Arabidopsis thaliana: one gene and its partners. The protein of the gene in region 3 interacts with the protein of the main gene of each other region in a pairwise test. Each region holds a gene or a part of one and is shown on either strand. Other genes may lie near its edges. The genes, in order: IREG1, NHX3, CNGC10 and ACA2.

Region 1 (6,707 bases), on a different chromosome or scaffold from region 3:
ATATCGTGTCAAGCATAGTAGTGTAAATTGTAAATCGTTTAGGTATATAAAAGTGATCAGTTTCTTATTGCACGATATGTGGTATGGTTCTTCACGTGGAACCTAAATTAAACGTCATGGATTTTGTGTCGCTTTACCGTGCAAGTTGCAAACTATGCAGTGTTTGTTGATCCGATGACAGTTTCTTTCTTCAGCCCAAAAGCCCAAAAGGCCCAAAGTAAAATAGCCTCTTGCTTTAATACACGTCGGTATCTCTACAGCTAACACGTAAAACAGACGTGGCAAGAGTTGCTTCCAGAATCATTAATAGTTAAAAAAAATCATCATTGGCACAAGAAAGTGAGATATTTCCTAGTCTTGCTTTCAAGTTTCAAGCAATCTATCTATCTCGAAAAAGCAGCGATGCAAGACGCCGAGACATCACGACAGCCGGCGAAGTCTTTGTCCGATCGAGTGAAGACTAACTGTTTATCCATGGCAGTAACATGCCAGGAAGGGTTTAGCTATGTCAAAGCCTTTTTTGTTGGCCAGGTGCGTATACAAGAGTCTTGTTTCGAGCCACTGAAACAAGCGGATCAGAGACTCATGGGTCTTCTTGAATCAATGATCACTTGACGTATTTGGTGTCTCGTTAATTTCCTTATTGATTAGTTTCATTTTGTTATAATCTTTTATTTTTATTTTGGTTTGGAAGACAAAGAGATTGACGGCAAAGAACGAGAAGGAAGCTACGGAGGCTCATCTAACGGAGACAAAAATGCAAGTTGACGCAACCGATGAAGCAGAGAATGCCAAGAAGAGACTTCATCAATCTTCTTAATGTTTCTTTATTAACATATAATAATGGAGTGTGTACTTTATTAAGCAAACACAAATATCTGGGAGTTTTCAACTGTTTCTACTACTAATGATGAATGTTATTTCAGTATTGATTTTTAATACAGAATTCTATTCCCAAAAGATAAAATGGAAAATTTTCATTGTTATTATAGAACTACATAAAAGTGAGTTCATACAAAACAGAGTGAATTCATACAAAAAACGGAGGAAAGTTGTCTTTAACACATCACAAAATTGTCACTGAAAGTTGTCTTTAACACATCACAAAATTGTCACTGACCTATTTTGTGGGTGTTTTCTTTTGACTATATCTTTGACCTATTTAACCAATCATTTAAGCCATTTGATTCATTTTTGGCTGCTTTATGGTCATGTCATAAAACCACCCCATTTCTAGTTATCCATGTCGGAGAAATCGTGGCACATTCCACAACATTATGAATTACACGTTTCCACGAGAAGGGAGCAACTTGAATATACATTTGTTCAACAAAGGAATCTTCTCAAGATGAAAAATATGGTTTCTTATGCGGTAGAGGTGAATTGTATAGAGCATTCCTGCCAACGATACTGTGGAGAATGAGATCAACGTCAATATCCAAAAATCCTGAAATAAAAAAGTCCATAAATATTATGACCTTGATTGTATGAAAACGTAAATTTTGCATTTGATGGATAAAAAGAGTCATTATCTATATATGGATCCTTAGAATATAAACTGGAATTTATTTACCTTTGGATTGGAGACAATGATACCTAAAAGATATGCCATCAAGTCAAGAGCCGATTGCAGTGAGTTCTGAACACCTCCAACCACACAACGGTCGGATTCTGAAACAAGATCCTAACACATGACCAAAAACATTACGAAACGTTCTTATTATAAGTCTTTAAAGAATACGTGTGCTGTAACTATATAAGCTAAAGAAATGTAAACATACCTGCATTTGTTGGATGACGGCAAGATCAAACATCCACAAGCCAAGCCTTGAAGCAGCAACTCCAGCCATTAGCATGTAAGATGCTATTTTATCCTTTTTAACCCAAATCGATCCAACGCAGACCAAAAGGCAGCTCCACTGTATGAACAACAACCCTACTTTTATGACTCTTTTGTTTTACTCGAGTTCCATAACATGGTCAAGTACATATATGATACACTTAATATCTAGTGAAGAATGAGAAAAAGACTTGTTATAACCTGTAACCAATCAGATGAATCAAACCATAGGTGTGTTTTCAAGTTGATATACCTGAGACCAGAAGGACCAGAGGCCGGTTCTCAGAGTTGAGAGACGCGATTGCATTAGCGGATACACTAATGTAGCCGCTAGTCCAACCGTTGCACTTATTCCCCTGCCTATACCGATGATATATGTAGGTATACCTTCCCACTGCAATGTAGCCGTCATCAATGTTCCAAAGCTGTGTCAAGGTGGTAAATAAAACAACAATGATCCACATAATCGGTAGGATATGCATGTTCATCTGAGGACTCTTAAACATATAGATAAAGAGAAAAGGAACCTGAGGACGGTGAAGAACAAGAGAGCTAGAGAAACCCCGGGGAGGACAACTTCTTGATTGAAATAAATTCTCCATGCGCCAACAAAAGAGGACTTGGACATTCTATCCAGTATCACCAAGATTCCGGTTCTAGACGGAGGGTTTCCAGTATAACCCTCCTCTGTTCCCGGAACAATAGAAACAGAAACAGGTGCATCTCTTCCTTCTACTTGCTTTGTCCGGGAACGCAAGATCCGTCTCTCATTGCTTCGTGTTATTGCAGGAACACCGCTATACACAGAAATGAAGAGCCAATATTCAACCCAAGCTGTTATAGTAGCCCAAGCTGCAAAAGTGATCGCTGAAGCCTTAAGTGAGACAAAACTGATGATCAGACCAGTAATGACTGGAGACAGTAGCTTGGAGCTCAAATCAATGCCTCTAATGACAGAATTCATTTTTGTCAATACTGCTGGTGGATGACCTTCAGACATAACCACAGCCCTGTTGGTTGCCAAAAGAGCCAAAAGAAATACATGTTGCAAATATGACACTATACATAAGATTGCATTCATGTGTTGCAAATATATACAGTCTAGACATTTACCAGTCTCGTTCGATCAGAATGGTGCCAGCAAGAGTCGAAAGAACTCCAATGGCGCCAGCAAGATTCGTTAACACAATCAAGATTGCAAACACCGGGAGATTCCGGGACTTAAGATCAGAAACTAGCAACAACTTGATGACTGCACCACCAGCAATAGTGTAGGAGAGGTTCTGGAACAGGAGCCAGAGTCTAAGAACTTTAACGTAGTCCATTCCCTCGACCCATTGCCCCACAATGGGACCAAAGATTGCAGTAGAACCAGATTCTATAGCACCATAAATGGCAGCGAGAAGCAGAGAGTTTGGCCACAAGTGGATCATATACAATGCAACAGAGAATTCCCATGTTCTGCATCACAAAACCAAGAAAAGAAAGTAGTCCATCATCTTCAAAACGTCTAACACTAATACACTATGAATAAAGTTTTATATCTTCATACAATAAAAAAAAAAAAAAGAGTTTCAAAATAATTGGAGATAAAGGATTGATGGAAACCTACCTGGCACTCCATCTTGCAAGAAAATATCCAACGTAAAGATATATCACGAAACGACGTCGTAAGGCTGGTGGTGGGTTTTGTGGCTGTGATTCATCTTCTCCTTCTTCGCGTTGTTGTTCTTCCTGATGAACAACCCTCAATTCTGTCTCATTCTCCATTTTCTGCTGGAAAGTCTCGAATTTAACATCGATCAAGCGATTAGGTGTTGATTACGTATTGAATTCCAAATGAAACATGACATCTGTAGATATTTCTACAGTCATCATTTGCATGAGCGTTTTAGTGTGTGACAACAAAGCCGTCCTCGAGAATTGCGATAAATATGAACTGCCATATTAACAATAGTTTATCCTGAAAACAAAAAACGATGATTCTAGGAATAAATGAGAAACAAAAACCTTATTTTAGCGCCGCAGAAATAGCTTTGTTGATCGAATGATGGAAAAAGAATCGACGAAACTCAGTATTACTTTGTTCTAGAGTGGTCCTATTAATATTGGTGATTCTATTTCCAAAGGGATGAAAATTTGTTAGTGGAGCAAAAAACAGATTCCCACTAGGCACTGGGAATATTTATGGTTTTGTGTGCAAAATGACTATGATACAATTACATTATTTTATGGTTTTTAGATTTTAAGATTGGTTTAAGAAAACAAGCCAGTCTTTCCAATGCCTATTCTAAGTCATCGGAGAAATTATAAGTTCGTTGTTATACAAATCACTTATCGAACGAAATGGATCTAAGTAGTATAAATGGATGTTCTTCTTCTGAACTTTTTTTTACCCCGCTGATATTGTTTACTTTGGAGTTTGGAACATAGAAAAAGTAACAAAACAATACGAGTACCTTTTTTAACTCCTTTTCATTGCTAGAATAATCATACACTGTGAGCAAAGGCATTCACCAAAATTTAAACAAAATAAAAAAAGAAGACATATTTGAGTAATAGAGCTACAAAATGATTAGCAAGCATCAAAAGATATGCGCAGAGAGAAGATATTGTTCATTGTTGGAACTTGGATCATCCAAGATTGAAACAAAACAGAACAAACACAAGCTCTCTCGATCAGGACATGCTAATCAGACTCTGAATCTGAATCACTTGCGTTGTAACCTGAGAAATCACAAAAAAAACAAATTCATATCCAAAAGCAAAAAAGAACCAATTTGTTGATAAACCAATTTTGACATGTAATAAAACAAAGACCTGGTCGTTTATCTATCACTTTCCACACTGAAGAACGAACTCTTGATGCTTTCGTAATCCAAAGTCTCCCCTAATCATTAATAAAACACAGAATCAAATTCAAAAACCTAAAAAAGAAGAAACTTGCAAATCAATCTAATCAAATTAGAGAATTTTCAAATCAACCAAACTAAAAAAACCTAAAACTTGGAAAAGAAGAGATTGAAAGGGAGGGAATAAAGACGAAACCTTTCTAGCATCCTTAGGGACTCCATACCCAGAGTAATACATCTGACCTAACAAAACCTGCATAGTGATGTTCCCAGCTTTAGCTTCCTCAAGAGTGTCTTTAAACCACCGCTTCGCACAATCAGAAACCACCGATGAAAGCGGAACGAAACGTCGTGTAGTTTCGCTGGTGGTGGTGGTGGATGATGAATCTTTGTCGGAACTGTCCATGGAGGAAATGGGTCGGATCGGTTTTGAGGATTTGATGAATCCAGCTACTGCTGCGGAAGCTCCTCTTAGCCCTGTTTTGACGGGAATCGATTTTCCCATTTTTAATTTATAAACATAAAAATAAATAAAAGGAAAAAATCGGTTTTCTTCTCAATCTCTTGTTTGGTTTTGGTTTGGTCTCATTGTATAAAATAATATTAAAATATCTTATGGGCCTAGCTCTTAAGCCCACTAGAATTTTTTTATTTTTTTCCCTAGCCCACTAGAAATTAAGACTAGCTCCTTGCTATTTCATAACGGTTACTGAATAAAGAGCTCTGTCTATATAAAGGCCATCATAAATTCTTCACAATTGCATTCTTTCGCTCTCGTCTCCTTGTTTTTTTTAGTAGCATGAGTTCGTCTAAGGTTTTGAGTTCAGACACTATAACGGTAATCAAGAATGATATCTCAGGATTTTTCACTCTCATATAGTTTCTTTTAGCCCTAACGTCTCAGGTGTGAACCCGGTCGAGGCTGTTGCTTATGGTGGTGCTGTTCCGGGTGGTATTTTGCGCGGACGATGTGGTCTGATCCCGATAATCAAGTATTCAGACAGGATACAGGTGGTGCCAGCCGAGAATAGAGATCAAGTATTAAGTAGGCTTCCAACTGATTTACATATGAGGATTGAGGATTGCCATACTTCCAATCCTCCTTCTCGATCCAACTACTCTATTTGGGTTCAAATTGAAACTCAGTTATGCCTGCAAATGATTTTTGTGAAGATCATCCTATTGGTACTAAGCAAGCAAACCATCATATCATTTCAGTCCTCTAGAAACCAAATATTACCTTTGAAGTGTGTGCAGTGCACTAACTAGCTGATTCTCATAGATATTCGTTATCCAAATGACCAAATATACAGTCAAAGGACACTGCAAATGATTGAGAACACACAATACATATCTATGTATGTATTCAAATACACATACATAGCCTACTAAAAGAATGTTCTATGAGCTAAAAAAAAGAACGAAACATTCCTACACACAAATTTCCGTAAAACTACTGCAAATTTCGGAATCTACTTACATTACAACATACACACACCTATAAAACAGTACACAATATACATACATACATATATAAATAACCAATGACTGTATGTATTTAATGTTATATGTCTGAAATAGAGATTGTATAACCTACCTGACTCCAAGTGCTTGCGCACTCATCATGATACAAGAACGAACACCACGGAAAAGCCAACGATCATCGATTTCAAGAATCACTCCAACTATCTGAATCTTCATCCTCGTCGCTTCCAGCCATTGCCTGCACCAGTGTTCAACCGGTTTTAGATGTGTGTGCGATAGAGAAAAAGTGATATTTTATTTGGTCTATGATCAGGCTTATAATTCATTGTTTCCACTTAAGAGACTGCTTCGGATCCAATCTAAGACATAATGTGAGACTAAACTCCTCAGATTTTCATGTCAAATTGAAATGCTTTGACATGAAGCCTCTACGATTAGCAAGGACCACAGAAAAAGGTGAAAAAACTTGAAAACATTTACTATCTTTGAAGGAGATGGAAAGAGAGTAACGAACCATGCGTATTGTATTT
Region 2 (7,394 bases), on a different chromosome or scaffold from region 3:
TCTTAACATTACTTTTTAGATCTAATGTTGTCTTAATCCATTACTAGTAATGTCGAAATGTACTCTGTTTCTCACATTTTTATTAAATTTTCATTTATGAAAAGAGAGAGATAGAGCAAAAAAAAAGCCAATAAGTCTCCCACATGTCTCTTTGCAACTTGCAGATATTTCAACTCAAAAGACGACTTGACTTGACTTAAGGTCCATATCATACTTATGGTTGAACCAAGAAAAAAAAAGAGACGACTAGACTAGTAGAAGACTAATGAGTCTGCAACCCATACCATACGCTCAATCTAACTTGTATAATAAGCTCATTAGATTTAAGGATCATATGGAATAGTCAAGAGAGAATGGATACGAACAATACCAGAACTGTGAAATTTGCAGCTCTTGCAATAGTTTTAGCCGCCTTGGTGTTGATGGAAGAACCTACGAGCATTACCGCATGTAACATCAACGCAAACCATCTGGAAAAATGTCGTCCAGCCGTAATTGGAGACAACCCGCCATCTCCAATCAAAGAGTGTTGTGAACTCCTCCAAGCCGCTAATCTGAAATGCATCTGCAGATTCAAGTCTGTTCTCCCCGTTTTAGCGGTTTACCCATCTAAAGTCCAGGCTCTTCTGAGCAAATGTGGCCTGACAACAATCCCTCCTGCTTGCCAAGGTAAAATCAAAATACCATTAAGATACTAAAAACCGGTAGACTAGTAGGATCCCAATATGAAGTATGAAGTAAAAAAGGCTTACGTTTTGCTGTTCTGTAAGTGCAGCTTTGAGGAACTGAGATGGAGACAGACCGTTCTAGCAGACTTCACTCGAACTTGTCCTGCAACTGATCTGAAGTCTTACAATATGTCTTATGTTCCGATCCAAATAAATTACAAACTCGCAGTAATAATCGCAGCTTGTGTATATAGAAGAACCTTGTTGTATACATTTAACAAAAACTTTAAGAAACTGTTTTAGCTAAACCAACTATCCTACTTTCTTGACTATAAAAAAAACTAACTCATCATGATTTCCCCGCGGAGAACCCGGATCAATTCTGCAACACAAAAAGAGAGAATTGTTCGCTTATCATGATGAATATTGTAGGCACCTCTTCCCGGATGTACTTATTAATTCCGGTTACACATTATTGATCAAGTGAGGTGCGTTTGCTGCAAAATGTATAAATTTGTGTGGTAATAATGGAGGGTATACCTAGCATTCTGGTTGGTTTTCTCGACGAGGTCCACCGAAGATAGGCCTCATGTATGTGTCGTCAAACTTTCTCCAGTAGCGGTGGATGGTGTACACAGGTTGTTCCATCAGAAGGGAAATACTATCTTTAGCTCTATTGAAGTTGGTGGAAGCAGACTCGTCAAAGGAAAGAAGAGGAAGTGTCGCATCTTCTTTCGGAGAACCTGGCTCAGTGCGTTTACCTCTATTTCCGGTGTTGTGACTTGCATCTTGAGGAAGGAGATAATTCACAAGTGGTTTTGTGAGGAAACCAAAGACCTGTTTGTTACATGACAAAGAAGTCATTCTTTTGATCTTAACACAGAAAACTACCAGAACCAGTAGGGCCATATACTAAGGTAGTATTTGTTTTACCAGTGTAGTAAAGAGAACAACGATAGTGGTGTTGGTGACCATGGCAGCATTCACAGGATCCAATGTAACACCGGAGTATGTGAACTTGGCACATGAAAGATATACCAAAATGAGATATAATGGAAATGTTACTAATTCAATGTAAAAGTAATACAATAGAGATTAGAGATAATATGAATGTGCAAAGAGAAAAACCTGCTTGAAAGCCAGAGCAATTGAGACAGCACCTCGCATTAGACCTGCCCACCAAATGATCACCTATAAAGTATACAAAGAGAGAATTATATAACAGAAACTTTCCCATTCTCGGACCATTATTAATTTTTTATTTTAGTGCTTCTGATAATGTAACTGTAACAAACAAGAGCTAAACCTGATGCTTAAATGTGATAGACTCGTTTCTTTCAGTGTGCCTGTTCATGAAATTTGTTAAGACCGAGAGTGGAAAGACAAATGCTGCTCGTCCAAGCAATACTAATGCGGTTATGACACCGGAGACACCCAGAGTACCCCCAAAGCTGCAAGAAGATGATTAATGTTACAAGTCTTCATTGGGAAGAGATTTCAGAAACAACGAGTCACCACCACAGCTTAACTAACAGTTAATTGGCGATTAACTTCGTGTCAAGAGAGAAGAAGACATAGAGGATGTCTTTGGGATAATCTTGATTCTAGGTATGCATTTAAGAAATACACGAGGTTCATATCAAAATGCTGTGTATTGTTTTGACAAAACACTCTAAACGCTCTACCAGCTGATAAATGGATACGACTTTATACCTTAAGCTGCTTGTCTTCCACTTTGTAAAATCAAGAGCATCTGTTCCAACATACAGAAATATGAATGTCTCCGCAATAAAGGACAACATTGCAAATACATGCCTGCAAAATATAGATGCACAGTCAGACAAAAGCAATTCCTGCAAATTGAGACTTCAGCGAATAAACAATTGTCTGATACATTGCCTGGAAGTGATTCTTGAGCTCTCTGTCACGTTATATGATGCATAATGCGACATTAAAACACCACAGAAGAAAACAGTAAGAATTCCACTTAATGAGAAGAGCTGCAAGAGAACAACTATATTGAGTTAAAACAGAGAAATGCAGCACTTCAATTCCAAATGAAAACTAAAAAGTAGCGTTCATGACCAGTGTATTACCTCAGCCAACATATATGAAAGGTAAGCCATTAGAACCATGATGGCGAGTTCGCGTGTAGTAGAATGTCTGTCAGCAACCATATAACAAGATCAATATAAAGGCACATCTTATCACTAAAAAAAAAAAACTTAAGCTTGAGATGAAAAATTTGCAAGTTTGGTGTACTTTTACCTTCCAAAATACAAGGTTTTAAGAACAAAAGATGTTATTAGCCCCACCTGCAAGACATTCACAGTTCTAAGATTACTCATGATATGCTTCAAACAGAGTAAAAAACTATGCCAACTCAATAGCTTACACCAATTCCGAGAAGTGTGCTTGTTGAGAAGAGGTACAAAAAGTTCCCAAATACTTGCAGCGCCGTCCAACCGGTTAGGCTTTCAAATTGAATCTTTTGCACGGCGTTGAACAGTACAACTGAGGTTGCATCATTCACCACTCCTTCTCCAAAGACTAAGCTGTATAGCAATGGTGTTTCATCTTGATGGAGAATCTGTAAAAGTTTAAGATGCAATGTAAGAAAAAACTTTTAATAGAAGAAGTAGTAAGACAAAGAATCTTCTAAATCAAGAACCTGTAGAGTGCAAACAGTATCAGTTGATGAGAAAATCGTTCCTATGGCTGAATCAAAACAAGAAAGCATTCACTCTCGCAAACTGATAAGTAATAACCATCTCAACAAGAAATGAAAAGAAACATAGATCAGTGAAAAATCTTACCAAGATAGTCTCTAGCACTCAACCCCTTAAATCCCAACTTGGGAAACAGCCACCAAGTCCCTGGTTCACATTATAAAAACAACAAAAATAGAGATGGTAACAACTCCGAGATAATCAACTTTAAATCATATAGTCAAGTCATTCAAAGATTAATGAAATATTTTTTACCAAACGAGATAATGACAGTGGAGATGAAAACTCCAATCACACCAAAGGACATGATGGTTAAAAAGTTGTGAAAAAACTTCTTTTTCTTAACTTGGAACCTGCCACAACAAACCAAAAAATCTTCAGTCAATCACCATCATAGTGTAATCTAACCCATTAACCACAACATAGTAACCAAAACCATAGTAAGCTTACCCAGCATTGAAGATTATTGGAGGAAGAAGGTAAATGAAGAAGAGTTCTTCATCAAACACCAAAATATGTGAACTTTTTCCTTTACTAATAAGTAAGATCACTGTTCCTGATGCTGCTCCCTACTTGCAACAAAACCAATCAAAAATAGTGATAAAATTGTTCTTTAAGAGCAGAAAAGCTCAAAACTTTAGCTAAAACAAAAAAAAGAAGAAATTTTGAAGAAAATTACTACTAAAATGGCGGTAATAGATTCATTAACCCATCGATTCTCTTCAAGCAAGTGGCCGATAACTAAACATAGACAGAGAATGGCGATGAACACTGAGATTGGTATCACCTGAGGATGCTCAGCTGCTAGTTTATTCGTCACAAACTCTGTTAATCCGATACTCATTTTTCACTCGATAATGTTTTCGATTTCGTCGATTTTGAAAACACCAATCGCAAACGAAGAAGGCACACAGAGAACGATAGAGAGAGAGACGAGGAAAGAGTCAGAGAGTGAGGAGAGATTTGAACTGCGATGAACAAGGCGGTGGTTACAGGTGGCGAGGAGACGAAAGACACGTGGCATGTTTCCAACGTCATCAGACTGAGTAAACGTGAGGCTTTTTGGAATTGTACTGCATCTTGGGCCTTTTTAGGGCCCAAAACTAACTCATCATGTATTTTTTTCTTACCGGATTTGGGGATTTTTTTCTTTTTTCTTTTTTGGGTCTAACTAACTCGCGTAAATTGTTGTTCTTTTTCCTTAATTTATTTTTACCTCTTGTTCTTTATTCTGTTTATATAAAATTATGAAACTTGAAAACTCAATATTTATTACAACGAATTATTTGGTGAAGACTCGAACCAATCGAAATAAAACACTCTACTGAGTAACGGTCCCGGTTGCAACAGCCAAGACGCTAGAACGTGATCGTTTCGTTTGGTCGTGTTTTGATGACGTAAAAAGTGACTCAGCGACCTATTTCACCACGTGTAATCTTTAACGACCATGTTCTAGGACCTACCTGACTTTTAATCGATCATCCACCACCGCCTTCTCAACATTTTTTAAGATACTAGTATCATTATAGCTATAATATAAATTAAGAAACTTGTAAATATTATAATTAACGTGAAAACATAGAATTCGGATATATAATGTGTATATTAGATAAATAATAAATCTGCTCATATGTGATATGTATATGCATATATCATATATGTAAATGTAGCCATTATTGGAATGCGTATTGGGTAATGGGTAGTATCACTAGAATGATACAATTTTTCTTATATACAGAGAAGAGAAGAGGAAACAAGAAAAACAAATACGTTCCCCGCAGTAGACTTTTTATTTGTTGGTACCGTAGAGGAAAACAGATATACACCAATTACTATAGGAGTGATTAAGGGAGAAATTGCAGGGATATAATTGATATCTAATAGCCGTTTCTACACTAATCCTAATTATAACAAGACCAATGATTGACACATGTATATTGCAATTGCATGCATTATATAGTTTATTATTATGCTTGCTTATAGTTTAGCTGGTTTTGGAAACAAGTAGGTAGTAATAAAGAAAAACAAAGAGAGAGTAGGTCGTAATAAATGAAGAACGCATAACTATAAAAAATAAATACACAAATATATGTAAAACAATTGTTTGGTTTCTCTAGGTTGGAGACAACCAATCAAAAAATTATATTCTAATTTAAAATAAAACTTATTTAGTTATCCCATGAAAATTAAACTCTTGTATTCTCAAAAAAAAATTGAGTCAAAATTACACTCCCAATATTTTCTGTCTGCAATAAAGATATGGAGACACATTGAAAAACATTTTAGTTTATTTATGAAAAACCAAAAAAATAAAATTTTAGTTGATGTTTTCTTTTTAAAGTGGAAAAATGTGTCAAAAACAAAAAGTCGAAGTTCTTTTGTTTTCCCTTTTAAAATAATCAACGATCATATAAATTCGAATCCCACAAACCAAAAAGCTCTCTCTCTCTCTCTCTCTCTCTCTCTCTCTGAGTAAATCTCAGTTTTTGGTCGAAGTTGGTGAAGTCGCCGCCGGGACAACTCAGGTTGTTACAGATGATAAACATGCGAGATAATCCAACAATGCATGTCTTACAAGCTTCAAAGTTTCTATTTTTAGCTCTTATTTTGATCCAGTTGCTGTCTACTCAACTCTTTGCTCAAAGATCTAAAAGTCCATGGCAAACACTCACTGGTTAGTGTCTTCTATCTCCTTCTTCTCCTATTTATTCAATACCCTTCACTGTTAATCAATAAATCAGTAGAAAAGTTGCTTCCTTTTGAATCGTTTCATAGAAATCAAAGAGAAAAATTTGGGGGTTTTCTGAGTTTCATCCAAAGAAAAATCGAAGCTTTCTTATAGGTTTCATCGGATTTTGTTTCCATTTTTGTAGGAGATGCTCCCCTTGTCATTGCTCGTGGTGGGTTTTCTGGGTTGTTGCCAGATTCAAGTCTCGATGCTTACAGTTTTGTATCGCAGACTAGTGTTCCTGGTGCTGTTCTTTGGTGTGATGTGCAACTAACGAAAGATGCAATTGGACTTTGCTTCCCTGATGTGAAGATGATGAATGCTTCCAATATTCAAGATGTTTACCCTAAACGGAAAACTTCTTACTTGCTTAATGGAGTCCCTACTCAGGATTGGTTCACCATTGATTTCAACTTCAAGGATCTGACAAAAGTTATCTGTAAGTTCACGCGTCTTTTTGAGCTTTAGTATACATTCTAATTTATTGGACTAGTGGATACTAGTTGTAGAAAGATCTTATGTTAATTAGTTTATCTATGTTTTAGGGGTAATTTGTCTGTGACATTTGATCAAATTGAGTAAATTTTAGTATTGTTAGATTTGATTGCTGCTGTTCATTGAGGTGTAACTTGCTTGAATCTTCTTCATACAAATCATTCTCATAGTGAAACAAGGAATATTATCACGGTCAGCGGCATTCGATGGAAACAGTTACGGGATATCGACAGTTAAAGATATATCTACGCAGTTAAAACCTGAGGGTTTTTGGTTAAATGTTCAGGTAGCTCTTTTGTCAGTAAGTTTCTTGTTGTTTTCCATTTTTTGTTGCAGTGAAAGCTCACTCTAATACGGCTGTTCTTTATTCAGCACGACGCATTCTATGCTCAACATAATCTGAGCATGAGCAGCTTTCTGCTATCAATTTCCAAGACTGTGATTATTGACTATCTCTCTTCCCCTGAGGTGAATTTCTTTCGGAACATTGGTAGGCGTTTTGGACGCAATGGGCCAAAGTTTGTGTTCCGGTTTCTTGAAAAAGATGATGTTGAGGTGTCAACCAACCAAACCTATGGATCTCTTGCGGGAAACCTAACATTCCTCAAGACTTTTGCTTCAGGAGTTCTTGTTCCCAAGTCTTACATATGGCCAATCGAAAGCCAATACTTGCTTCCCCGTACATCTTTTGTTCAAGATGCTCACAAAGCAGGATTAGAAGTATATGCATCAGGTTTTGGAAACGATTTTGATCTTGCATACAACTACAGTTTT
Region 3 (7,192 bases):
TTTTGGATTATTCTATTTGTGCCCCTTTCTACTTCTATCACAAATTCATGCTCTCTGCGTCAGAACCAGTTTTTTAAAAAAGTAAATGCAGAAATGGTAACTTAACTGCCCAGTTAAAAGAGTCTAAGAAATCACGTTATTAGGTATTATATGGCTCAAAAATGTGTATTTTGTTTGAAGCACGAGCTTGTTGGTCCAGATATTTTTGTATGTTTCCATATAAAAGCAAGCTATAATTAGTTCAAACAATCACACGTTCTTTGATCATTAATTTTTTTTAATCACAATGAACATTAAGGACTCTTAACATACACGTTTTTGTAAGCAAAATCAAATTTTATCATAATAAAATAAATAAAGGTTTTTTTTATGTATGAAGAAAATGAGAGCAGGCGATTTTGTCGTCCAGTAATGTTGGCAATGGCAGGGGTCACAAGTGGAAAGAAGAAACAAAGATGCGGGACCATTTGTCTTAAATGGGTCCCACGTAAAATGGGTATTCCAACGAATCGGAGCCGCACACTTTCTTAACCTGACTGCAATCAGACGGTGCTAGATGGACCACGTAAAGCTGCCTCCTCCCGTTATCCTATTCCACAAGTAACCAAACGAAATGGCCAATTTGTCCATACATTCTGTAATTCTTTTTTCCTTTCCGAAGTAATGTATTTATCGTTTCACTCGTAAATTTTTGTAAATATATTATTCATATGTTGAATATTATGTAACTTTCATTCTTTAGAAATGATAATCTCTATACGAAATTTTAGCATGAAACTAGATTATAATTTGGTTGACCATAAAAATGAACAATGAAATGGATTAATAGATTTTTCCGAAAACAGGTTAATCTTACGATCATGAAGAGTGATAAGGTTTAACATTATCTTCCACTCCGATCAATCTTACGGAAGAAGAGATGAATTTGGGGATTAGCATTCTCTCAGGTGGTTGTTGATAAAAAAGAGATGAAAGTACTCTAGGGTTACTTGTAGTATATATAAACGCAAGCTCAATATGTTGGTCTGCTTTATACAGGAGCGGGACTTAAAAAAAGGAAACACTGAAAACCGACATACGAAAGAGACGTTGATATTATACCGAACAAAACCAAAAGGAAACATTGGTTGGTTTGCTTTGATTTCTCAAGGAAGAAGAGAGAATGAGTGAGATGTTGTTGGAGATTAGCATTCTCCCTCAGGTTTTCATTATTAGGTTCTTCCAAAATAAAAAGGAAACTTTCGATTGTTTCCTTCTTCAAGAAAAGACATAAACGCAAAAAAGTTTCTTTAAACTCGGGAGTCAAAACAAGTTTAAGTAAAGTCCTAAACCTGACAGACCTTCTAACACTAGCCATTCTCTCATAACCAACCCCAGTTTTGCTATGCATTAGCTTGAAAGCTAAATATGCTTTTCCCACTTTCCTCAATGCATTGATCATCAGATCGAGTCTCTAACTATACCTCCATGTGTGATGCTGAACTGAAGTAGCCAAAGTTAAGCGGCGCATAAGAGCCAGCCATTATTTCAATTTCTGTTAGTTGATAAACAATTTTTTACATTTTATTGGTTCAAAGTTCAAACCATTGTTTTTACACTTTATTCCACACACTATACACATGCAAGAGAGATCTAAGGGTCAGTTGTATGATTGGCGGTGAAGTCAGGCTCGGTGGGTTTTTGAGGTAGCAAAGGAAGAGTGTAGCGAGGAGGAAGGTTGGAGATATTGTGCCTCAGATTGTGAAGCGCGTTTGATGCGAAACGCGACGCGTAAAGAGCGCCTCCAAGGCTCAAGGACGACGACACGGTTGCAGCATTGTGTTCTTTATCTTGACTAGCGAGCGCTTCTCGGAGACGATCTTCTTCATCGCGTAGTGACTTGGCTAACTTCCTCCGACAGTATCTCCTCCACGCTGCTTGTATAAAAGACACGCTCCATGTTCTCCATTGCACTGAGTAAAACCTGTATATATAATCAAGATCCGGTTAAGAAGATCCAAAACCGAAAACAGAGCCAAAGAAGCTGATGGGAGTGACCGAACCGAAAAGTATGTTGGAGTTGCTTGCTATGGAGGCGTCTGAATTGTGAAGCGACAGACTTGAGATCCTCAGCTGTGAGAGCAAAGGCTTCGACTTCAGTGAGAGCTTGAACTGTTCTTGTCGAGATGGGAAAGTGAGAAGAAGATTGAGGATCTAATGCCCACGGGAGAAGATCTTCTCCGCAGAAATCACTTGCCTTTAGGTTCACGGCATTGAAGAACCCACTTCTTCCTCCATTAGTGGTGGCACTTACCAGTCTTCCTCTCATAACAAACAACATTTCCCCAACAGGATCTCCTTCACGGATCACGTAACTGTTCTCGGTGTAGAGCACAGGTCTTAGCCTATCGCAAACCGCGTCAAGTAACTGCTCATCCATTATCTCAAACAAAGGTACCTACCATAAACATCATATAATTTGGATTCTGAGGGTTCTTTAGTTCAGTTTATGGAAGAAAAAGAGAGAAAGCTTGTTACTCACTTTCTTGAGGAGATCGAGGCAAAGATGGCGTTTAATATCTCTTCTGAGGTCTTTAGGGAGGTTACGAAGAAGGGTTTCTTCTTCAACTCCTCTTGTCTCTTGCCATCTATATTGTTCATATCTTCTGATACGTTTCCTCAGGTCTTCAGGTAACATTCTATGAGACATCCACTGCTCTGCATCTCTCTTTCTCACCCTCATTTCCTCTTCTCGAACTGTTGTTGACTCCAAATATTTCTGCAACAGCAAACAAAAATTACATGCGTGTCCTGAGTAACTTATATGTAGCATTATGGAACAAGTCCAGAAAATGAGAAGCGATTATTTGAGGCTAATACCTGCATATTGCCGATAAGTAGAGCAAATAAGACTAGTCCAGATATGCAGATTGATATAGCAAATATGATTTCACCAACGAATTTGCTAGTTTGGAGATTCTGTCCCAATGCACTGCAACAACAAAAGCAACTTGTGAGAATGATGACTTGTTTAAATTGTGACAGATATATATGCTTAAGATGCAAATATAAACAGGTCATTTCACGGCTTAAAATCTCCAAATATAGCTAGTTAGTTATTGTCAACAGTTTTATGTGTGTCTTACAAACCTCAGATTTCGAAGACCCCACCAGAAGCAGTAGAAGAATTTCTTCCAGAAATCATGTGATTCAACAACGCCACTCTTAAGAGCATCAGTGAAGATGCCAAAGTTGAAGATGGTTGAGTTTGTTATATCACCAGGGTCGAGAAATGGGCAAGAAGTGGTCAGGAAATTGTTGCTAACGTTACGATCGTTTTCACAGTAGAGGAATTTCATATTACAACCTTTTGTCTTCTCGCATGCCTCTTGCCAGCATCTGTCTTCTCGTTCTACTGAGATTAAGTACCATAAAGCTCCAAACACCTGAATAAGTAAGTTTAACATATAACCTTTAATATGCATTTACATGTATAAAGATTCAGTCATCAAAAGATCCGAAACTCACATGACTGGCTAACATATAGAGAGAGAGGTTCCAAGCAGCTCCAGCCCATGCTGTTTCAGTAACAATGCCAGATGTTCTTGTCACTTCAGTGTAAAGCGGATACATACGGAGAATCCGAGGAACATATTGAGCAATTATGGAAAATTTAAGGTAGTCTTTTGTTAGCAAAGAGACTGGCTGGTTGACGCTTGGAATAACGGCTAAAACTACTATCTGCAAAAGTTAAGAAGCCAGAGGATTCAAAAAGAAATGATCATTGACATTTTGAACAAGTAATCAAACTAGTCATTTACCTGTGGGAGAGGAAGGATAGAGAGTAGATCAATGATGAAGTAAGAAGAGAGATACTTTAAGGCTATTGCCTTAGCATCATCTACCAGTTCACCTCTTCCAAAAACCCGCGAAGAAGGAGCGATGTAAGCTGTCCTGAACTGAAACACAATGTGAATAATGTAAAAGGCATCGATGAGCGTACGAAGCAAACTCGCAGCTATCTCCAACTTTGAGTCCAAAGTAAGACAGTGCCTTGCGCTATCGACAATGGGAATGTAGAAAAACAATGGATCAATCGCCAAAGCAACCACACAAGCAAATAAAAATATTTTGTTCCAGTTCTGGAGAAACGAATCCTGCGGGTTTATGATGTTCTTCCGAGTAACACTAGATGTTTCCTTGTGGTCAGGATCCTTATGTGAAGGGAAACTCAATGGCTTCTTGAATCCCCATTTTACATTCTTGAAAACTCTATCTAAAGAAGGTCTAGCTTTTCTTCCATAACCATATTCAGAGGATAATGGTTTGCCTTCATCTTTGAACCTAAACAAAATCATAAGAAAATGAGATAGTAGAAAAAATCATTCAACTATGAACTGTTTTCAAGATTTTCTGTAACTACCAACCTTACACGATTATCATGGCTAAATGCCATCAGCCAAACCCTTGTATATTTCAACTGATCTTTCGCTTACAGGGTGACGAGTCCTAACATTATAATAAGAACCAAAACTTAAGACATACGAATTCTTCTACATGATTACGTACAATGATAATCCCCAATACCAATTAAAAATAAGCAAGTAGACACCTAACTACAAATACAATTGTGTTGTGTGTATGTGTTTTTAAATATTTCTTTCTTGAAAAGGTTAATTAGAGAACCTAGAATCAGTCAATTTCCACCTAACATTAGATTATACCAAATCCTGTAATTCCTACCCATTCCTGCTCAATAAATGGAAACCACACGAACAACTTAAAAACACTGTTCATCAAAGATAAGAAATCCAAATTTCAAAAAACCATTGACCATAAACGAAAGACATATATCTAAGCGTTTCGGTTCTGAGAAACAGCAAAATAAATTCAGACGAAAAAGAACAAAAACGGAAATCGGAATCAAAATTCTATCATCAAACTAACCTGAAACGAAGTAGGTAACGGCGAGATAGTAAGATTCGGCTAATAAACGGAAGTCGGTGAACGGCGTTTTCTTCAATTCAAGCAACTGGTCCCGTCGTCGCTGGAAAGAGAGAGAGACTCATATGGCGGTTACTTGTATCTCTCTCTGTATATTGTTTCCTGGAAAAGTAGTATATGAGAATTTTATTATACGACAAAAAGGGAGGGAAAGAGGAATATTATGCAATTAAATATTATAAAGTCTGTTCAATTGAAAATCATTTCATAAAACAATTTCATTCAGATGAATGACTTGGTCAAAGTCAGACGGCGAGAATAAGCAAGTTGCCAAATTTTAAGTACCGGGCCCATTATGAATATTGAGCCCATTTAGATTCATGACCCAAAATGAAGTAACCGCCCCACCATATGTTCCTTATTTCTTTTCTCTTCACACTGATTTATTTTCTGTCGGAAAATACGGACGGCGTCGTCGTTCTTTTTGACGGTGTAGCTCACCGGCGTCGATTTTTAGATTTTTTTTTAAGGTAACATATTCTTCCTTGTGTTTAATCTCCATACTTTTGATCTACTTTTCGTTCTTGTTTAGTCTTTAGTGTTGTTCGAGCTTTTGTCTCCAATTTCAATCAATTCAAAGGGTTTTTAGATTCCAAATTTTGTAGCTTCCGTTGACACATCGAGTTGTCGAACTGTGTTTCGGATTGATCTGTCTGGAGCTTCTATTTCTGCTTCCTTATCTACTGTGAATGAAATTGCCACCGATATAGATAGTTAGCTAGGGTTTATTCGTGAGCTCGCGTAGATGAATTAGGAAGAATTCAGGTGATCATTTTTATGTTGCATTGTCTATTATTGTAACTGAATCTGGAGAAATTTTGATAAAATTGTTGTTTGACTCAGTGCAAACAAATTTACAAGTTTTCAGGAAATTGACTTAATACTAATCTTGAATTTTGCAGGGAAACACTAAGCAGCAAATTACAAGTGGGTGATTTGTGTTTGTTACATAGTCTTATATCTAACTATGTCAGATTCTGGTGAGCCTAAACCTTCTCAGCAAGAAGAACCTCTACCTCAACCTGCTGCCCAAGAAACTCAGTCTCAACAAGGTTACATATACTTCCTTCTATCTCAATTCTAGTTGTCGTCTCATTGAGATTTTTTCTTGTTCTTCGTTGTTAGCTAGAAATTTTCATTTACACTAATCAAATCATTCTTCTGTTTCAGTTTGCACTTTCTTCAAGAAGCCAACGAAAAGTAAAAACATAAGAAAAAGAACCATTGACGCTGATGAAGAAGACGGAGATTCGAAAAGCGAAAGCTCTATTCTACAAAATCTAAAGAAAGTTGCAAAACCCGATAGCAAGTTATACTTTTCTTCTGGACCATCTAAGAGTTCTACTACAACGAGTGGAGCTCCTGAGAGGTCCGTCTTTCACTACGATTCATCCAAGGAAATCCAGGTTCAGAACGACAGTGGAGCAACAGCAACCCTTGAAACTGAGACCGACTTCAATCAAGACGCACGAGCTATCCGTGAGAGAGTTCTTAAAAAAGCAGACGAAGCATTGAAAGGGAATAAGAAAAAGGCTTCTGATGAGAAGCTGTACAAAGGAATTCATGGATATACAGATCACAAAGCTGGGTTTAGAAGAGAACAAACAATCTCGAGCGAGAAAGCTGGAGGCTCACACGGGCCATTAAGAGCTTCTGCTCACATAAGAGTGTCGGCTAGATTCGATTACCAGCCAGACATTTGCAAGGATTACAAAGAAACCGGATACTGTGGATATGGAGATTCGTGTAAGTTCTTGCATGACCGTGGGGATTACAAACCAGGATGGCAGATAGAGAAAGAGTGGGAAGAAGCAGAGAAAGTTAGGAAGAGAAATAAAGCTATGGGAGTTGAGGATGAAGATGATGAGGCTGACAAGGATAGCGACGAAGACGAAAATGCATTGCCCTTTGCTTGCTTCATTTGCAGGGAGCCTTTTGTTGATCCAGTTGTCACCAAATGCAAGCATTACTTCTGTGAGCATTGTGCTTTAAAGGTATGATCATCACAATTACGAGTCTGTTTTTTTTTTAGTTGTGAAGAAATGTGTGAAACTAGCGAGTTTTGTTTAATGTAATGATGCAGCATCACACGAAGAACAAGAAGTGCTTTGTGTGTAACCAACCAACAATGGGGATTTTCAATGCAGCACATGAGATCAAGAAGAGAATGGCTGAAGAACGGAGTAAAGCTGAACAAGGATTGTGAAGT
Region 4 (7,898 bases), on a different chromosome or scaffold from region 3:
AGACATAATGCAGTAGATATTTACATCTTATGAGTCATCACCATCTCTGGTAGATCAAATGTTCTCATGATCAGTTTCTTCTACAATTATTAGAAGAAACCCCACGCTCTGCTTCTTTGTCCCTTTCTTCGAAACCTATCGAGTGTTGCAATTCAGTTTCTTATGTAATTTCTCGAAATCTGTTCTTGCATTCTAGGAAAAGTCCCATCTTAATCTTTTGAAGAATATATATATATATATATATATATATATATATATATATATATAGTCGATAATAATTTCGGTTATATGTGCCACTATGTTTTATACACAACACCAAACAGCCATAGCATAAATGCATAATTACATTGTTTATGTATACAGTAGACCCTAATTTGTTTCTCGCATATAAACCCATATTCATTCGCTAATTTGGTTGTTATGCATGCCTGTATGCTAATTAAGATTTATATACTTGGAGAAAACATCTTCCCCATGGTTAGGATTGTTTAGCCCCAGAAATGAACCGTTAACTTATCTTTTTCGATTAGTAATGAAATGATCAAATATTTTTACAAAAATATTCTACTATCCTTCAATTAAGCCATAGACAAAAAAAACCTGTAGGTCTCCCATCAATCACACAAAGGTAAAAAAACAGACTTTTAGGTGACCAATTTCGTACCATTTTGTAAAATCTAAATCGGAACAATGTAGAGCAAATGATGTAGAAAATATCATACATTATTAGAACCAACTCAATCAAACCTAACTCAAAATAATAATTTTGACATGACTATTCCCACTAAAACTACATATAAGTGACACCGGCTAAAGTTTTTTAAAAATTGTACGGCATACCAAAATCATGGAGGTTGATATGATATGTGTAGAATCATCCGAAAAATATATATTTGTGAATTTACACAAATTTATGGGTCATCAACGTACGTCTAGACCTCTTTCAAACAACTTTTTATGATTGCAAAATGTTATTTGGTTAATGGATTTCGTAACACAACAAATATCTCATCAACGAACTTCGTCCACCACTTGAATATGAAACCAAGCTGGTTTTCTTAGTCCCATATATAACTGAATTTTTCCTTCCCTAGTCACACTTTTAGCGATAGCAGGAGCAGTGACATCAGTCCGAACCGCGACCAAGTGAAATTACAACCTTCAAAACCGTTGCTAAACTGTGATTTTTTTATTTTTTTGGTAATGGCTAAACTGTGAATTTTATCCAGCAGATCACAGAATCTTGGCAACTTATGGGGTAACGAACTAGCTTCCCATGGCAGAGTGACAATCGGAGACCACAACCACACGAGCAACTTCAACGTCATCCCACAGCTGTTCCAATGCCTGTCCAACACATAACTCAGCAGAATCGCTTAAAGAAAAAAAATGATTAACAGTTTTATTGTTTATTTTTCTTTCTCAAAAGCATCCCAAATATTTTAGAGAAGCAAACATATACCAGAGCCCAAAATTTGTTAGGCCCTAAAGGCCAATAAAGCAAACAAAGCCGTGTAAAGAAAGATCTTAATAGCTTTCAAGGCCTATAAAGGCCCATTCTAAGCCCAAATCTGCATGTCCAACTTTTTTGAAAGTGTCATTTTCCATGAAGTCAAGGTAAACGCATTATTCAATTGGAGAAGAATAAAAAACACTAGTTATTGAACTAGAATGATGAACAGAGACATAAGCAATTAGTACCAAACGAATAATAAAAAGACATAAAGCAATCAATGTTTTTGAGTCCAAATAGAACCAATGGGCTTGGTCCAACGTGGCGTCCCCGAAGTGTCGGGTTTTTTGCAATAGTCTCTGGGTCAACGGTCCTCCAATTTCTCTTTATTTATATAAACGACCCCATTTCTTATTATTGTCAAAAATCACCGCACTTTTGTCCCACAATTGTCATTCAATTTGGTCAAAGTGAAATCAACGTGAGCAGCCAAACAACAAAAAACCAAAGCTACGAAAGGTAAACTTCTTAGAAAAATCTTGCAAAATATGGTCCAATTAAAACTCTCTGTATATTATATTCCATTTTTTTCTATACAGTATATATTATATTGAGTAAATCTAAAAATTACGTCATTTACTCATCCATAGTATTTTACTAGTTTTTAAACCTTTTTTTTTCTGTAATCTTCTAATTTTTTTAATTATAAAATGTCCACATTCATTCACAAATTTGGGAATAAAAACCAATCATAAACTCAACAATAATAACATAAACGCGTAATGTACTCGTCATGGCCTGCATGAATGTTTCAAGAATGATTTAACGTTCGTTATAAATGGAAAGTAGTGCATGTCTTTATTTAATTATTCTCTTCAATAATAAGTCGAATGTTTTTATTAAAAATGTAAGAGAAACTTTGTTGGACACACGAATTTAAAACGAGTCAACTCAGCTTCTCATCACCAAATGTTAATAAACTCAACGACTCGGTCAAATGCTTAAGCAAAAAAAACTCAGATCTTTGAATAAAAAAAAACTTTACCTTTCTTCTCCATTAAAAGCTTCCGATTTCTCTTCTTCACCCACCAAAAAATAAAAAGGTTCCTTTTTTCTTCTCCACCAAATATACAGAAGAATTTGAAACAGAGAGCCAAACAAAAAAGCCATTGAAGCTGGAAGACAAAAAAAACAGAGGAGATTGAAGAAGAAGAGGGAGTAAGAAGATGGAGAGTTACCTAAACGAGAATTTCGATGTGAAAGCGAAGCATTCTTCAGAGGAAGTGCTTGAGAAATGGCGTAATCTCTGTGGCGTTGTTAAGAACCCTAAACGTCGGTTTCGTTTCACCGCTAATCTCTCTAAACGCTATGAAGCCGCCGCGATGCGTCGCACCAACCAGGTTTTGTCTCTTTTCTTTTTCTTCTATGTCATCGTTGTTAATGATTTTGTTGAAATCTTCGAACTTTTAGATGGATTTTGTGTATAGCGATGAAGGATCTTAAAAACTTTCTATATACAGGAGAAATTAAGGATCGCTGTTCTTGTTTCCAAAGCTGCTTTCCAATTTATCTCTGGTGAGTTTATATGTGATCAAAGTTGCTGATTTGTGTCAAAGTTTCGATTTTTGTTTGTTTGTTTGTTTGTTTATGTGAGTTTTTGTTGTAGGTGTTTCTCCAAGTGACTACACTGTCCCTGAAGATGTCAAAGCTGCTGGCTTTGAGATTTGTGCTGACGAATTAGGATCAATTGTTGAAAGTCATGATGTTAAGAAGCTCAAGTTCCATGGTGGAGTTGATGGGCTTGCAGGTAAGCTCAAGGCATCTCCCACAGATGGCCTTTCTACTGAGGCTGCTCAGTTATCCCAAAGGCAAGAGCTTTTCGGAATCAACAAGTTTGCAGAGAGCGAAATGAGGGGTTTCTGGGTGTTTGTATGGGAAGCTCTTCAGGATATGACTCTTATGATTCTTGGTGTTTGTGCTTTCGTGTCTTTGATTGTTGGGATAGCTACTGAAGGATGGCCTAAAGGATCACATGATGGTCTTGGCATTGCGGCTAGTATTCTCTTGGTTGTGTTTGTTACAGCTACTAGCGATTACCGCCAGTCTTTGCAGTTCCGTGATTTGGATAAAGAGAAGAAGAAGATCACTGTTCAGGTGACAAGGAACGGGTTTAGACAGAAACTGTCGATTTACGACTTGCTTCCTGGTGACATTGTTCATCTGGCGATTGGAGATCAGGTTCCTGCTGATGGTCTTTTCCTCTCGGGATTCTCTGTGGTGATAGATGAATCGAGTTTGACTGGTGAAAGTGAGCCTGTGATGGTGAATGCGCAGAATCCTTTCCTTATGTCTGGAACCAAAGTGCAAGATGGATCTTGTAAGATGATGATTACTACAGTTGGGATGAGGACTCAATGGGGAAAGCTAATGGCGACTTTGACCGAAGGAGGGGATGATGAAACTCCACTGCAGGTGAAACTCAATGGAGTTGCTACCATCATTGGCAAAATTGGTCTTTTCTTTGCGGTGGTTACTTTCGCGGTTCTGGTGCAAGGAATGTTTATGAGGAAGCTTTCAACGGGAACTCACTGGGTCTGGTCTGGTGATGAAGCATTGGAGCTCTTGGAATACTTTGCTATTGCTGTGACAATCGTTGTGGTTGCGGTTCCTGAAGGATTGCCTTTAGCTGTGACTCTAAGTCTTGCGTTTGCCATGAAGAAAATGATGAACGATAAAGCTCTTGTGAGGCATTTAGCAGCATGTGAGACTATGGGATCTGCAACGACGATTTGCAGTGACAAGACTGGTACACTCACAACCAATCACATGACCGTTGTGAAGTCTTGCATTTGCATGAATGTGCAAGATGTAGCAAATAAAGGTTCTAGCTTGCAATCAGAAATCCCGGAATCTGCGGTGAAGTTGTTGATTCAATCGATTTTCAATAACACAGGAGGCGAAGTTGTTGTCAACAAACATGGGAAAACCGAGCTTTTGGGGACGCCAACAGAGACTGCTATATTAGAGTTGGGGTTATCTCTTGGAGGTAAGTTCCAAGAAGAGAGGAAGTCTTACAAAGTGATCAAAGTTGAGCCTTTCAACTCCACAAAGAAGCGAATGGGAGTTGTAATCGAGCTTCCTGAGGGAGGACGTATGCGTGCTCACACGAAAGGAGCTTCCGAGATTGTTTTAGCTGCTTGTGACAAAGTTGTAAACTCGAGCGGTGAGGTTGTTCCACTTGATGAAGAATCAATCAAGTATCTGAATGTTACAATCAACGAGTTTGCTAATGAAGCTCTTCGAACTCTTTGCCTTGCTTATATGGATATTGAAGGCGGGTTTTCGCCGGATGATGCAATCCCGGCTTCTGGATTTACTTGCGTAGGGATTGTGGGAATCAAAGATCCCGTACGTCCTGGAGTTAAAGAATCTGTTGAGCTTTGTCGCCGTGCTGGAATCACTGTGAGGATGGTTACAGGAGATAACATTAACACCGCGAAAGCAATTGCTAGAGAATGTGGGATTTTAACTGATGACGGTATAGCCATCGAAGGTCCCGTATTCAGAGAGAAGAATCAAGAAGAGTTACTAGAACTGATTCCAAAGATTCAGGTGCTTTTTGTTTCATGAACTAAAGACTTAATTTTTTTTGTTTAGTTTTTGAAACATAACCTTTCCTATGTTCTTATACAGGTGATGGCTCGTTCTTCACCAATGGATAAGCATACACTTGTGAAACAGTTAAGGACAACGTTTGATGAAGTTGTTGCTGTCACTGGAGATGGAACAAATGATGCACCTGCACTTCATGAAGCTGATATTGGACTAGCAATGGGAATTGCTGGAACTGAAGTGAGTATATGATAAGATTTTGTTATGTCATTTGTGAGAGCTAAAGAATCTAAAAGTTTCTATCTGTATAACCTTTTAGGTGGCGAAAGAGAGCGCTGATGTCATCATTCTCGACGATAACTTCAGCACGATCGTCACAGTTGCTAAATGGGGACGTTCTGTTTACATAAACATCCAGAAATTCGTTCAGTTTCAGCTTACCGTTAATGTTGTTGCACTGGTTGTTAACTTCTCTTCAGCTTGTTTAACCGGTAGGTTTAGTAAGAATACCAATTCAATGTCTCGAAAAGAATCATTTTGGATTCCTTGTTTGACACAGCTCTTATGATAATCTTCAGGAAGTGCTCCTTTAACTGCTGTTCAATTGTTGTGGGTGAACATGATCATGGACACACTTGGAGCTCTTGCTTTAGCTACAGAGCCACCAAACGACGAGCTGATGAAGCGTTTACCTGTTGGAAGGAGAGGCAATTTCATCACTAATGCGATGTGGAGGAACATTTTAGGACAAGCTGTTTACCAATTCATCGTAATTTGGATTCTCCAAGCCAAAGGGAAGGCTATGTTTGGTCTCGACGGTCCTGACTCAACTCTCATGTTAAACACTCTTATCTTCAACTGCTTCGTCTTCTGTCAGGTAAAGAACAAAGATTACTGATAACAATACTCGAGCTATAAAGATAGATTCTTGACATGACTTTGGTTCTGAAAACTCCAGGTGTTTAACGAGATAAGCTCGCGAGAGATGGAAGAGATCGATGTTTTCAAAGGAATACTGGACAATTACGTCTTTGTGGTTGTGATCGGTGCAACGGTTTTCTTTCAGATCATAATCATCGAGTTCTTGGGCACATTTGCAAGCACAACACCACTCACAATAACACAATGGATCTTCAGTATCTTCATAGGTTTCTTGGGTATGCCAATCGCCGCTGGACTGAAGACGATTCCCGTTTGATCGTTCCATCAAAATTGGCTCGAAACCACTCTTTAAAGATCTCTATATTAGACCAGTTACTTCAAAGTTTAGAACGGACAAGTCTTCTAACAAAGTTTTTGCATTATGCAATGACTCTGTTTTTTATTCTTGACTTTTATTTTTCAGTTTGATTAGTGCTATTAAGGACAAATATCTGATTTCCTCCATTTTTGTAAAACTCTCTGTATCTTTGAAATGACACTTCTCTTTTCTTTCTTTTTCTCATTTTTGGAATCTAAATTTGGTCTCTATTGAATGACAAATGCAAAAATACAGAAAAAGGACATTGAAAAAACAGAGGAAGCAAAAGGTTAAAATAAGAAAAATGATTATTTGGGTACAAAATTGTTATCTAGCCAGACTGTAATTTGATATACTTAGAAAATCTCTCAATGAAGTCATGGCTTTTAGTGGGAGCCTCTTCTCCTGACATCATATCTCATCAGTCAAAACTGATTCCATATAACAATTCCAAAGCCTGTCAATCTCAAAACTGTAATAAATAAGAAAGACTCTTCTTTAAGAAAAGAAAAAAACATTTTTAAATGTTATCAATTTAGGATCTCTATGAAGTAAAACCATTTTTTAGATTGAAAAAATGAGTATACTATAGTCATTTGTCCCTTGTAGGCGTATAGGTAAATTATAATTTCTATGTGAACATTAGACCGGTAAAATATTCTATAACTAATTGTTTAAGTTTGTGATCGTGTGAATAAATGTTCATAAATAAAGGACTAATTAATATCTAGAATGAAAATAGAATTTACATAAAGATTAGTTATTTTTGTGATATTTCAATCTCACTAGTCATTAGTTTATCCATCTCCTAACCAAAGTGAGAGTTGTAACTAAATTGTGTTACCCGTGAATCTCACATATGTCTACACAAAACCCAACAGAAACAAAATGGTTTAACTCAATGATAATAAGCAAAAAAAAAAAATAACAATTGGGACATACTAATATTCATTGAAAGATAGGCAACAGAAAATTCAGAAGCATTAACTAGTTCTTGGTGAAGTAAAGCTTGACCCTTTATGCTTCTTGATTTGTTGAATAATCTCTTAGAGCAACAAAACATTGGCCTTAAACCACACACACATTATCTTTAATTATATTCTGTCAGTACTTTATGCTTCTTAATTTGTAAGAATGCATTTTGTTTGTAATAAGTCTTTTAATTCGTTGCTAATCATTTTGGAATTAAAGCTTTAATTAATGGAACCAAAACTTTGGATCCCAAGTTGTATTGTATGAGACAGTTGTTTCTCACTTAAACAAGTCGTTGGGTTGTTGTTTCTTCAGTCTATTACACATATGTTTTTTTTTTTTTTTCTCAACTGCATTTCATTGAAAATATTAACAATAATCCTATAAACACACACAAAAAAAACAATCTACCTCTATATGTACGAGTACGATGCACTTTTGACTTGCGCGTAGAATAGTACGTTAACTTAAAAACATCACATGCAAATTTCTGTATAAATTGGGGTTTCATCTTTAGATCCAATCATTGATCCAAAGTACTTCCACAGTTCCACTACAAGTTGTTGGTTTCTATAATGCTAAAGAAAACTTATTGGAGCAAAATATATATCCGTTTTAGTT

Evidence for each region.
Region 1: the proteins of CNGC10 (region 3) and IREG1 interact in a protein complementation assay, tested with the Arabidopsis thaliana proteins (one large-scale study listed by BioGRID).
Region 2: the proteins of CNGC10 (region 3) and NHX3 interact in a protein complementation assay, tested with the Arabidopsis thaliana proteins (one large-scale study listed by BioGRID).
Region 4: the proteins of CNGC10 (region 3) and ACA2 interact in a protein complementation assay, tested with the Arabidopsis thaliana proteins (one large-scale study listed by BioGRID).

What each region holds. Positions count from the first base shown.
Region 1 is NC_003071.7:16,100,506-16,107,212, reverse strand, and holds IREG1 (iron regulated 1), read right to left. Parts: upstream 4,050-6,707; 5' UTR 3,851-4,049; exon of another isoform or gene 3,614-3,850; 5' UTR 3,611-3,613; coding exon 3,453-3,610; intron 3,302-3,452; coding exon 2,954-3,301; exon of another isoform or gene 2,922-2,953; coding exon of another isoform or gene 2,851-2,921; coding exon 2,368-2,850; intron 2,266-2,367; coding exon 2,094-2,265; intron 1,920-2,093; coding exon 1,782-1,919; intron 1,685-1,781; coding exon 1,574-1,684; intron 1,448-1,573; coding exon 1,283-1,447; 3' UTR 1,036-1,282; downstream 1-1,035. Other genes in the region: AT2G38465 (uncharacterized protein), read left to right, coding at 403-531, 695-820; AT2G38450 (Sel1 repeat protein), read right to left, coding at 4,530-4,567, 4,661-4,730, 4,889-5,197; SCAR2 (SCAR homolog 2), read right to left, coding at 6,362-6,415, 6,692-6,707. UniProt on the Arabidopsis thaliana protein: May be involved in iron transport and iron homeostasis.
Region 2 is NC_003076.8:22,468,345-22,475,738, forward strand, and holds NHX3 (Na+/H+ (sodium hydrogen) exchanger 3), read right to left. Parts: upstream 4,363-7,394; 5' UTR 4,242-4,362; coding exon 4,077-4,241; intron 3,967-4,076; coding exon 3,848-3,966; intron 3,751-3,847; coding exon 3,653-3,750; intron 3,545-3,652; coding exon 3,485-3,544; intron 3,387-3,484; coding exon 3,340-3,386; intron 3,259-3,339; coding exon 3,064-3,258; intron 2,984-3,063; coding exon 2,937-2,983; intron 2,832-2,936; coding exon 2,765-2,831; intron 2,669-2,764; coding exon 2,568-2,668; intron 2,484-2,567; coding exon 2,382-2,483; intron 2,120-2,381; coding exon 1,975-2,119; intron 1,860-1,974; coding exon 1,797-1,859; intron 1,686-1,796; coding exon 1,602-1,685; intron 1,506-1,601; coding exon 1,209-1,505; intron 1,051-1,208; 3' UTR 901-1,050; downstream 1-900. Other genes in the region: AT5G55460 (Bifunctional inhibitor/lipid-transfer protein/seed storage 2S albumin superfamily protein), read left to right, coding at 354-669, 776-789; SVL1 (SHV3-like 1), read left to right, coding at 5,933-6,071, 6,271-6,564, 6,791-6,906, 6,993-7,394. UniProt on the Arabidopsis thaliana protein: May act in low affinity electroneutral exchange of protons for cations such as Na(+) or K(+) across membranes. May also exchange Li(+) and Cs(+) with a lower affinity.
Region 3 is NC_003070.9:130,782-137,973, forward strand, and holds CNGC10 (cyclic nucleotide gated channel 10), read right to left. Parts: upstream 5,144-7,192; 5' UTR 4,927-5,143; intron 4,542-4,926; exon of another isoform or gene 4,489-4,541; 5' UTR 4,436-4,488; coding exon 4,407-4,435; exon of another isoform or gene 4,338-4,406; coding exon of another isoform or gene 4,324-4,337; coding exon 3,801-4,323; intron 3,721-3,800; coding exon 3,508-3,720; intron 3,426-3,507; coding exon 3,130-3,425; intron 2,972-3,129; coding exon 2,860-2,971; intron 2,759-2,859; coding exon 2,522-2,758; intron 2,438-2,521; coding exon 2,043-2,437; intron 1,964-2,042; coding exon 1,633-1,963; 3' UTR 1,489-1,632; downstream 1-1,488. Other genes in the region: AT1G01335 (auxin-responsive endogenous peptide protein), read left to right, coding at 1-77; AT1G01350 (Zinc finger (CCCH-type/C3HC4-type RING finger) family protein), read left to right, coding at 5,951-6,035, 6,154-6,977, 7,067-7,189. UniProt on the Arabidopsis thaliana protein: Probable cyclic nucleotide-gated ion channel.
Region 4 is NC_003075.7:17,681,590-17,689,487, reverse strand, and holds ACA2 (calcium ATPase 2), read left to right. Parts: upstream 1-2,382; 5' UTR 2,383-2,679; coding exon 2,680-2,853; intron 2,854-2,973; coding exon 2,974-3,028; intron 3,029-3,119; coding exon 3,120-5,065; intron 5,066-5,146; coding exon 5,147-5,305; intron 5,306-5,384; coding exon 5,385-5,556; intron 5,557-5,643; coding exon 5,644-5,942; intron 5,943-6,023; coding exon 6,024-6,263; 3' UTR 6,264-6,629; downstream 6,630-7,898. UniProt on the Arabidopsis thaliana protein: This magnesium-dependent enzyme catalyzes the hydrolysis of ATP coupled with the translocation of calcium from the cytosol into the endoplasmic reticulum.